2 linked regions of the Arabidopsis thaliana genome follow. The protein of the gene in region 2 interacts with the protein of the main gene of each other region in a pairwise test. Each region holds a gene or a part of one and is shown on either strand. Other genes may lie near its edges. The genes, in order: CYCP2;1 and CDKB2;2.

Region 1 (3,867 bases), on a different chromosome or scaffold from region 2:
AATTCACACCAGATCCGATACAGAAACGTTGTAAATAGAGAGAGAGATCGAGAAAGGAACCAGATTTCGAATCGATGTAGTGGAGAAAAGGCTTGACATTTTGAAAGCAACGTAAGCGCTTAAACGCTTAATCAACCGAACGATCTCTTCAGTAGGCGACGGCGACGACGATTCCGCCATTAATTTCACCTTTCCTTCAAAGCCAATTTCAAATACGTCGTCGGTTTAAACACGAACGTCCAGATTCTTAGCTTCAGCTTTCAGATATGGGGCACTGTTCTCGAGCCTCCTCCCTGAACTAAGAGAGAAAAGAGGAATTTTACTTTTCCATTAGAACACAACTAGGCAAAGTCAATTTGTTTGGACACGTGTCTTGTTAAACACGTGGTGGTGGATGAGCGTGTGAGACCATTGTTTTTTATCATAGGGTGCGATGGATCTGATCTGTACGAAACGGTGCGTTTTGCTCTTATGTAAAGGAAATTTTACACGATAAACCGAAGACGATTGGAGGAGTAAGAAAACTAGGAAACTAGAATTGGATTTTGGTTTGTTGTTGTTGGATACTTAAGTCATCATGGAGTATCATTTTACAGTGAAAAGAAGAAAATAGAGAGATGAACCTGAAGAACAAAACAACATGTGCAAAATGTAGGAAAAAATAGCTTATATCATTTAGTTGAAATCTACAAACTATTTAACTTAACAGATTTACATTGTAAAATCTCTAGTATACATAGTTTGAGATTTCAATTATTTTTCTCTAGCAAAAATTTGAGATAATTTCTTCAAAATATAAATAAAATTTCGATAGTTAGTGCGTAAACTTTTTCTGTCAACCAAACGCGTTCAGTTAAAAGTTATATTAAAAAAATTCATATACATATATCAAACATATAAAGATGATAAAGTAGATGCTGGAGAGAGACTTTCTTGCATTGGTTGAATATCTTTGAGGGAAGAAACGGCGTCGTTTAGTTGCATCTCTTTTTCGAGGTGAAAGCAATAGCTCTCGAAAACTCTAAAACTCACAGTAACTCTAAAGTCAAGAAGAAAGAGAAGCTCCAACTCCATTTTGTTCAAGTCTGCATTGCTTACGCCTCCAACCCGAGCATAGAACTCGTTGTTGTAGTGCCTGTGAATATGAAATTTGTTAGAAAAAACGAAAACCTCTCTTATCTCATCCAATACATGTTGAAACCTTGAAATCAATAACTTAAAAGGGGCACTTAACATACATATAGGTACAAAGTTTGTCCTCATTTTATATTGGTTAGATATAAAATGTATCTTTCATTTTGTTAATCAATTAAGATACAACTATGATCTATAGTTTCATGATTAGTCTAATTTCAAGATATTATAGAAATTCAAGAAAGGCTTACTTACACGTCATCTAGTATCTTGGCAGCAATCATGACACAAGTGACGAGGAGTCTATGAACATTCAAGGAGACAACCAAAGAACCAGGATGCTTATGAGCCAACCGGTCTATGTACACATACCCAACAACGAAACATGCCGGGCTACATTTTGTGTACTTATATATCCTCTCAAGGTATTTAGCTATACTTATGCTCGGCGCTCTCACGCCGTGAAACGCCTCCAAGCTCTTCCCAAATCCCTTAGTTTGCTTAGCTAACCACTCGTTTCGTGCCACGAGCTTCTCCATCACATGGGAGATTATAGTCAGCACTCTTGGAGTGGCTGCTTCCGTTGCCGATTCTGGTCCCACGACCGGGTCCAGTTCATCGTCTCCGGCTGCGGTTAACATGGGTTCTCTTCAGTTTTCGTTAATGGGCCATGTTGTATAGTTCGTTTTGGGTATATATGGCTTGTAGATTGGGTGGTTGAGATACGATGAGCTTAAGATGTTACGTGGGGATGTTATCATGTTTCGTCTGACTTTGGACGAGTGTGAGATGGTTTTGACACGTGTCACTTCGCGAGAAGATAGGATTCCGATGATTTTTGTATACCTTGAGCAATGAAATTAGTTATCATTTATCAAACAAATAACTTTATTTTCCACTTAATTTTCTGCATATTACTAGCATTATTACCCAAAATTAAGTTTCCGGGTCTTGGTCCATAATTTTCTCGTCCGGTACAATTTCCTTTGAAAAGTCTCACAGTACACAAATTTTACTACATACGCTGGAATATATTCTTGATGTAAATACTATATATAGATGTAAATTAATGTTAGATACATTATTTGAAAAAAGGCATACGCGTTGCCGGTCACTGCATACATGTTTAATGTTTTGATAAGGAGAGTTTATGCATAGGTCATATAATGTTATGTGGCCATTTTTTCTTATCTCTGTTTTGAAGTTCATTTATCTTTGTTTACGTTAATAGTTATCATGTTTCTTACTTTTATCTATCAAATCTATATATCATTTTCTTTGCATAAGGCATTTTTTTCTTAAATTGTATCCTTTTAAATAGTTAGGTTGGTGTGCAACTTCTTAAAAAGAAAAGTTAGTTCTTTGAGGATTATATCAAAAGATAATTACTAGTTCAAATTTTACAATTTTCTTTTAGAAACAAATTTTTTACGAAATAGCTGACAACATTTTTTAGGTTAGGAATCCCAAAATTTGAGGGTAGCCTGATCAAAAAGTTAGAAATGCTAACAACTTATTTCTATTCAAGAGTCAACTGCATAGCCATTATACATGCATGTACATTAAACTGATGATAATATAGAAGTTGATGTGGCCTAGTCTATTTCAAATGAAATGACTCAATGATCTCACATCTATATATCAAATGTTAGAGATACCAAAAGACATCACACAATTCAGAAAAACTGATAACTCTTTCAAACTAGTTGAGAACATATTTTCGAAAAAGAAACGTACGTGGCTCAATATTCAAGTAAATTACGACATGTATTACACGTATAAACGATATCAATAAATTTATTGGGAACCACAAGTAAGTAACACTAGTAATAGCTAGTATCGACCCGAAACAACGAGTTTTAAGGTTTGCCACAGAGCACAAAATCTATCGAGCAAGAAAAAAATCAGATAGTACTATCTTGACAAGCGATATAATCACAATTACCTATGCATGTCTTCATAATAAATCACGTCAAGGCTCATAATTACGCCACGTGGATTTTAACCGCGTGGACACACGTTTTCACAAGGTATAAAAGAAGCAACCCTACCTCTCTTTCTTCTACGTGATTCGCACACCACTGTAAAAGTGTAAAAAAACTCTTTTTTTGTTCTTCTTCACATTTCATTCGATTCAAAAAATATTCTGTTCTTAGATTGTAATCTGTTTTTTTTTCTGTAATCTCCCATTATTGGGTTTTGAATTTCTCGTCATTTTACGAAAAAGGTTGTGAATCGGCCTAATCGATCTCGGTCGTCATAAGTGAGTGCTTCTTCCTCCGTATTAGCTCTCAAAAACATTTGTGTTTCTATTTGAAACGTAACAATTTACGATATTTTTCCTCACAAATTAATGTAATTGAAACACAAAACCCTATCATGCATGATGCACCCATATATTACCATCTTTAATTCCAAAATCATCATTTTCCTTCCATGATTTGTATCTGAAATGGTCATGCATCTATGTTGCGCAGGATCTTACGTGTGTTTTACTAATCGTGAAACAATATCAACGTCAGATTCTTCTCTATACACTTTTCTTTAAGTTTACCCAATCATCATGTCTCCAAGTATGGAGCCAAAGTGTGACCATTGTGCAACCTCGCAAGCATTGATTTACTGCAAATCCGATTTGGCTAAACTATGCCTAAACTGCGACGTCCATGTACACTCTGCGAATCCTCTGTCTCACAGGCACATACGCTCTTTGATCTGCGAGAAATGCTTCTC
Region 2 (4,842 bases):
TAGCCAACTTACTGATTTTGAGAGAATGTATATGTGACAAGGTTGGGACTTGGGGCAAGGTCAAACAAAGAGTGTGCTCTGTAGCAGAGAAAATCAATCTACGAACAATATTTGCTCCTTCAACTATTGCAGCGGTTTGTTTCAATGTTCCCTTGAACTAAACGACTGCTATCTAGCTTCTGTATGTTCTTACTAGTTAAGCAACTAATCCTCTTTCTCTTCAGCTTATCGCGCTTGCGGTTGGGTTAAATCCTTTACTACGGAAGCTACTAGTCGGTAACACAGCTCCACTTCGAGTGATTGAGGACTCAGTATCTCTATTGGGGTATTCTACAACATATTAAAAATCTCACTTGTCAGTGATAATTAACAATGCTTACTTGAGTAGCTTAATTTTCTTGAAGGGACGGGGCGATTCCTGTTCTGACTCTGATTGTTGGAGGAAACCTTCTCAATGGTAGATAAACAATAACAAATGGCTGCAGAAACTTTTTTTCCTAAGACAAAACCTTAAATCTCTGTTCTCTCTCTTATAATAATCACAGGTCTGAGAGGTTCAGGAATAAACAAGTCAGTCATAATGGGTGTGGTGGTTGTGCGTTACTTGTTGCTGCCAATATTAGGAGTTTTCATAGTACGAGGAGCGCATTACTTGGGTTTGGTTACATCCGAACCGCTTTACCAGTTTGTTCTTCTGCTTCAGTATGTCGTTCCCCCAGCGATGAATCTTGGTTCGTTCTTCAGACTCACAAAAATACTACCAAAACATGTCATCACACTGTCTTTCTCATAAACTCACTTGACCTTTTGGCAGGTACAATCACTCAACTATTCGGATCAGGAGAAAGTGAATGCTCTGTGATTCTATTCTGGAGTTATGCCTTGGCTTCAGTTTCTCTCACTGTCTGGCCAACATTCTTCATGTGGCTCGTAGCCTGAACATCCACACACACACACTTACACAAATGGGAAACAGTTGCAAATCTTGCTACTTTGAAATATTAGAGAAACTGATATATTCTTTCATTGATAAAAATGTTGGAAGGTTATACAATTGGGAATAGAGACCCAATCAAAAGGGAATATTGAAACTTCAATCATCCTAAGATAGCAGATAAATGCTTGAGACAAGCAAAGACAGAGATAGAACAAAATATCCTATTGAGAGTTTATAAAGAGAGCCTCAGAGAGAGGACTTGTCAGGCAAATCATCGAAGTAAGGATGCTCCATAGCTTTCTTTGCTGAGATTCGTTTTGCTGGCTCGTACTCCAGCATTTTCTGTGCACAAAGAGAAACACAAATTAGTCTCAGCAGAGTGATTATCTACTAATCAAGCAAGGTCTGAGAGGTGTGTTAGACACTAGAGACTTACAGATAAGAGATCAAGTCCAGCCTCGTCGAGGTTTGGCACAGCTGTGGAGAGACTCAACGGTTTCCATTGCGGGTATTCATGCCAGTCCTTGAGTTTGCTTACTCCAGGCCAAACTTCTTCGTTTGGTGTTCCCAACAACCTGAGTTTGACAGGAAAGAAAGAAACAGAACAACCAAGTTAGCGAATGTCATGTTTGTGTCTTAAAGGTAAAGATGAACACAAAGACTTACCTGAATATACGGAGGAGCTGTTGGAGCTCAGAGTCTCCCGCAAAGATTGCTTGCTTGGTCACTAGTTCAGCTACACATCAAAAAGGAAACAAAACTGTTAGTTCTTGCTAGTGACATTGAACTGAAACCAGTGAAACTGTAAGAGAAGATTTTGTACCAAAAATACAGCCAACAGACCACATATCCACTCCAGTAGAGTAATGGGTTGCTCCAAGAAGAACTTCCGGAGCTCTATACCATAGAGTTAGAATCTGTTGCAAATGAAATCATGGGGGTAAAATCATCCTGAGTTATAACTCCAGATAAACTAAGATAGAATTAAAAAAAAAAAAAAAAACTAGAATGAAACAGGACTAATGTTTCATCAACGTAGACTTATATACCTCATGTGTATACTTTTTCATTGGGAGAGTGAAGGCTCTGGCTAATCCAAGATCTGCTATTTTGAGCGTCATTGTCTTCCGGTCCATCAAGAGATTGTGAGGCTTAAGATCCCTGTAATGAAACCAAGACAAGTAGGATTAGAGATCTGTGTCAAAATGGGTTATCTCAAGTCATAGTTCTTCCAAAACAAAGACGATTTTTACCTGTGCAACACTCCATGACCATGGCAAAAAGCCATGCCTTTGCATAACTGGTACATCAAGCACTGCAATTCAAGAACATGTTTCTCTTAGCTTAAAGGGGCTTATCGGATGAGAGAAAAAAAGCAGAACAAAATCTCCAAATATCCAAACCTTGACAGTATTTTGTGGAATGTTCTGTCCAGCTTGACGAAAGCTTCTGATGAATTTCTTGAGATCAGTATCAACATACTCGAAAACAAGGTAAAGTACAGTTTTTCCTTCTTTGTTTATTCCTTGCTTAACATCCATCAACCTGTAGAAGAAGATAATCATCATAACAATAATCTCTCAGTAGAAATGCAATCACCACAAAAATAGTTGAAACTGAGATCACAACACAGAGCTTCTACTTTGACATTTTCTAGTATTCGGATAAGATAAGGAACCCATTTTATCTCGATCGGACCACACAACAAATAGCAAACTGAAACTAAGATCTACCAGTAACACCTAAGAGCGACACTAAGCGCGATTTGCAGGAAGAATCAGAGTCATCAAATCAATTGAGACATCAATTAATCGGGACTAAACCCTAGAAATCGAAATTGAGTCCTAAATCCACAATCAAAACCAGTAAATCGGAGAATTTCAGAAAGTGACTGAACCGAATCAGAAATGTAAAAGGAAATCGAACCTAACGATGTGAGGATCACGAGCGAGCATACGCAAGATAGAGATCTCGCGAAGAGTAGTGGGAGGAACACCTTCTTCATCCTCATGGAGACGCGTCTTCTTCAAAGCAACGATCATCCCAGTAGCTTTCTCTCTTGCTCTGTAAACTTTCCCATAAGTCCCTTCACCTACTTTCTCAAGCTTTTCAAAGGCTTCCATGGCGGAAACAGCGGGTTTAACTCCATTGTTGTCCATCTCTATCAATCTCTCAAGACAACTCTTCTTCTTCCTTCGCGAATCTCAGATTTTGTTTTCAATTTGGGGAAAGAGAGAGGAAATGTAATTAGATTCGAGAATTGGTTTAAATAGGAAGGAGATTATTAAAAAGGTATATTCCCTCTTTGAGCACTCATGTTTTTTCAACGGTTCTTTTTTTCTTTTTTCAAAATTCAAAACTGGAGCGTCGTCATTAGTTTTTTTTTTATGTTCTGTTTTTAAGTGTGACGTGGAAAAAGTGAATAACCAATGTTTGTCAACATCCGGAGACGGTTTAGCTACACGAAAGGAAAAAAAAAAGGGGAGAGTTTGTTTTTTGGTCAAAAGGTGTGAGTTTGTTGTTAGATTCGACAAAACACACAAGATGGGCCTTTATTGGGCAGGACGAAAAATTGACAAGCCAGAGAAGAACAAGTTCTTAAACAACATTGTCTTAAATGATTTTTTGTCCCAAAAGAAATAGTAATATACAACTAATTTTTAGATTTGAAATACATAAACCATAATAGTGCAATGATAAAAGCAAATGGGAAACAAACATTCTTATAAATCAGGACATTTTTTGTATAATCTATAGGCCCTAAATGTTTACTTGGTGGTATCAATGAGTCCCATAATCGAATTTATATAGGAGATGCGTCGGTCATTAGAAGCAACAAGCACCTTCTGTTGCTCATCCTCCTCTACAAAGAACAAGGAGGGCGTCAATTTATAGAAATCTCGGACGCAATTGGGCCAAGCAAGGGTTGACACCAAAACTCCCCAACTGTTAGCTTCCATGTCGTACACATGAAGAACACTTGCCAAAGGTTCTAAACCCATCTTTTTCACCCTCACCACAAGACACTTGCCATCGTACATAGCTATGTTCCAATATACAAGCGTTTCTTCCTCGATAGATATGTTCTTGATCCGCCTTGTGAGTGTCCATTTGTGATTCTCGACAAGTGTGTAAACGGAGATTGTTTCTATCGTCCCCGAAATTAGGGTCAGGCGATTGATCTTAACGCTTTCCGCGAAAAGTAGCTTCGTATCCGGTTCCCGATGAAATATGGAAGGAATCAAGCATGCTTGCTCTGTCTCGGGATTAAAAGACATGATGCTGCCATCGTTTCTCAGCCAGTGAAGAGTGTTGTCCAAGTAAACAGGTTTCATCCGCGTAGTGAGATCACTTTTTGAGCTAGTGGTGATACTCGTTTCCGATAATCTCCAAGAGTCTCCTTCGTTGATCTCGAATCCGTATACGTTTTCCATCTCGAGTATGCCCACGATCTTGAATCTCTTGGTTGTTAGATTTCGATTTACCGCAAATCCAACGCACATCGCTCGTTCCGTACAAGCAACATTACCTCCAGGATAACTAATTCCGCTAAGACCTTTAAGTCCACCATTAACTATCATTGGTATAAGCTTTGATCCAGAATGATCCAGGATTCGAAACCTTTTTGTTAAGGGATTTGCAACAAAGAGACAACCAATGTACAATAGGAGAAGACCAGAGCATGAGCCGAAAATGTAACAATCCGCACTACCATCAAACAGTTCTACTCCATTTCCCGGTGACATATAATCGCATGAAGAGACCAAAGGATGGCAACATACATAAGTAGCGCCATAGCTACCAAGGTTAAACAAACTAGGTCTGACCCATGAAGGATATTCCGGTCCAAATCTTGGATCACTTAAATATGATTTGATAGAATTGTTAGTGCATCGCATCATAGC

What was found.
Region 1: the proteins of CDKB2;2 (region 2) and CYCP2;1 interact in a two-hybrid assay, tested with the Arabidopsis thaliana proteins (one study listed by BioGRID).

The regions. Positions count from the first base shown.
Region 1 is NC_003074.8:7,703,039-7,706,905, forward strand, and holds CYCP2;1 (cyclin p2;1), read right to left. Parts: upstream 1,921-3,867; 5' UTR 1,776-1,920; coding exon 1,390-1,775; intron 1,136-1,389; coding exon 889-1,135; 3' UTR 761-888; downstream 1-760. Other genes in the region: PEX22 (peroxin 22), read right to left, coding at 61-180; BBX10 (B-box type zinc finger protein with CCT domain-containing protein), read left to right, coding at 3,698-3,867.
Region 2 is NC_003070.9:7,291,569-7,296,410, forward strand, and holds CDKB2;2 (cyclin-dependent kinase B2;2), read right to left. Parts: upstream 3,179-4,842; 5' UTR 3,097-3,178; coding exon 2,864-3,096; intron 2,483-2,863; coding exon 2,341-2,482; intron 2,253-2,340; coding exon 2,191-2,252; intron 2,099-2,190; coding exon 1,987-2,098; intron 1,855-1,986; coding exon 1,761-1,854; intron 1,674-1,760; coding exon 1,604-1,673; intron 1,513-1,603; coding exon 1,374-1,512; intron 1,280-1,373; coding exon 1,184-1,279; 3' UTR 940-1,183; downstream 1-939. Other genes in the region: AT1G20925 (Auxin efflux carrier family protein), read left to right, coding at 42-134, 225-325, 405-457, 546-731, 815-939; AT1G20940 (F-box family protein), read right to left, coding at 3,706-4,842.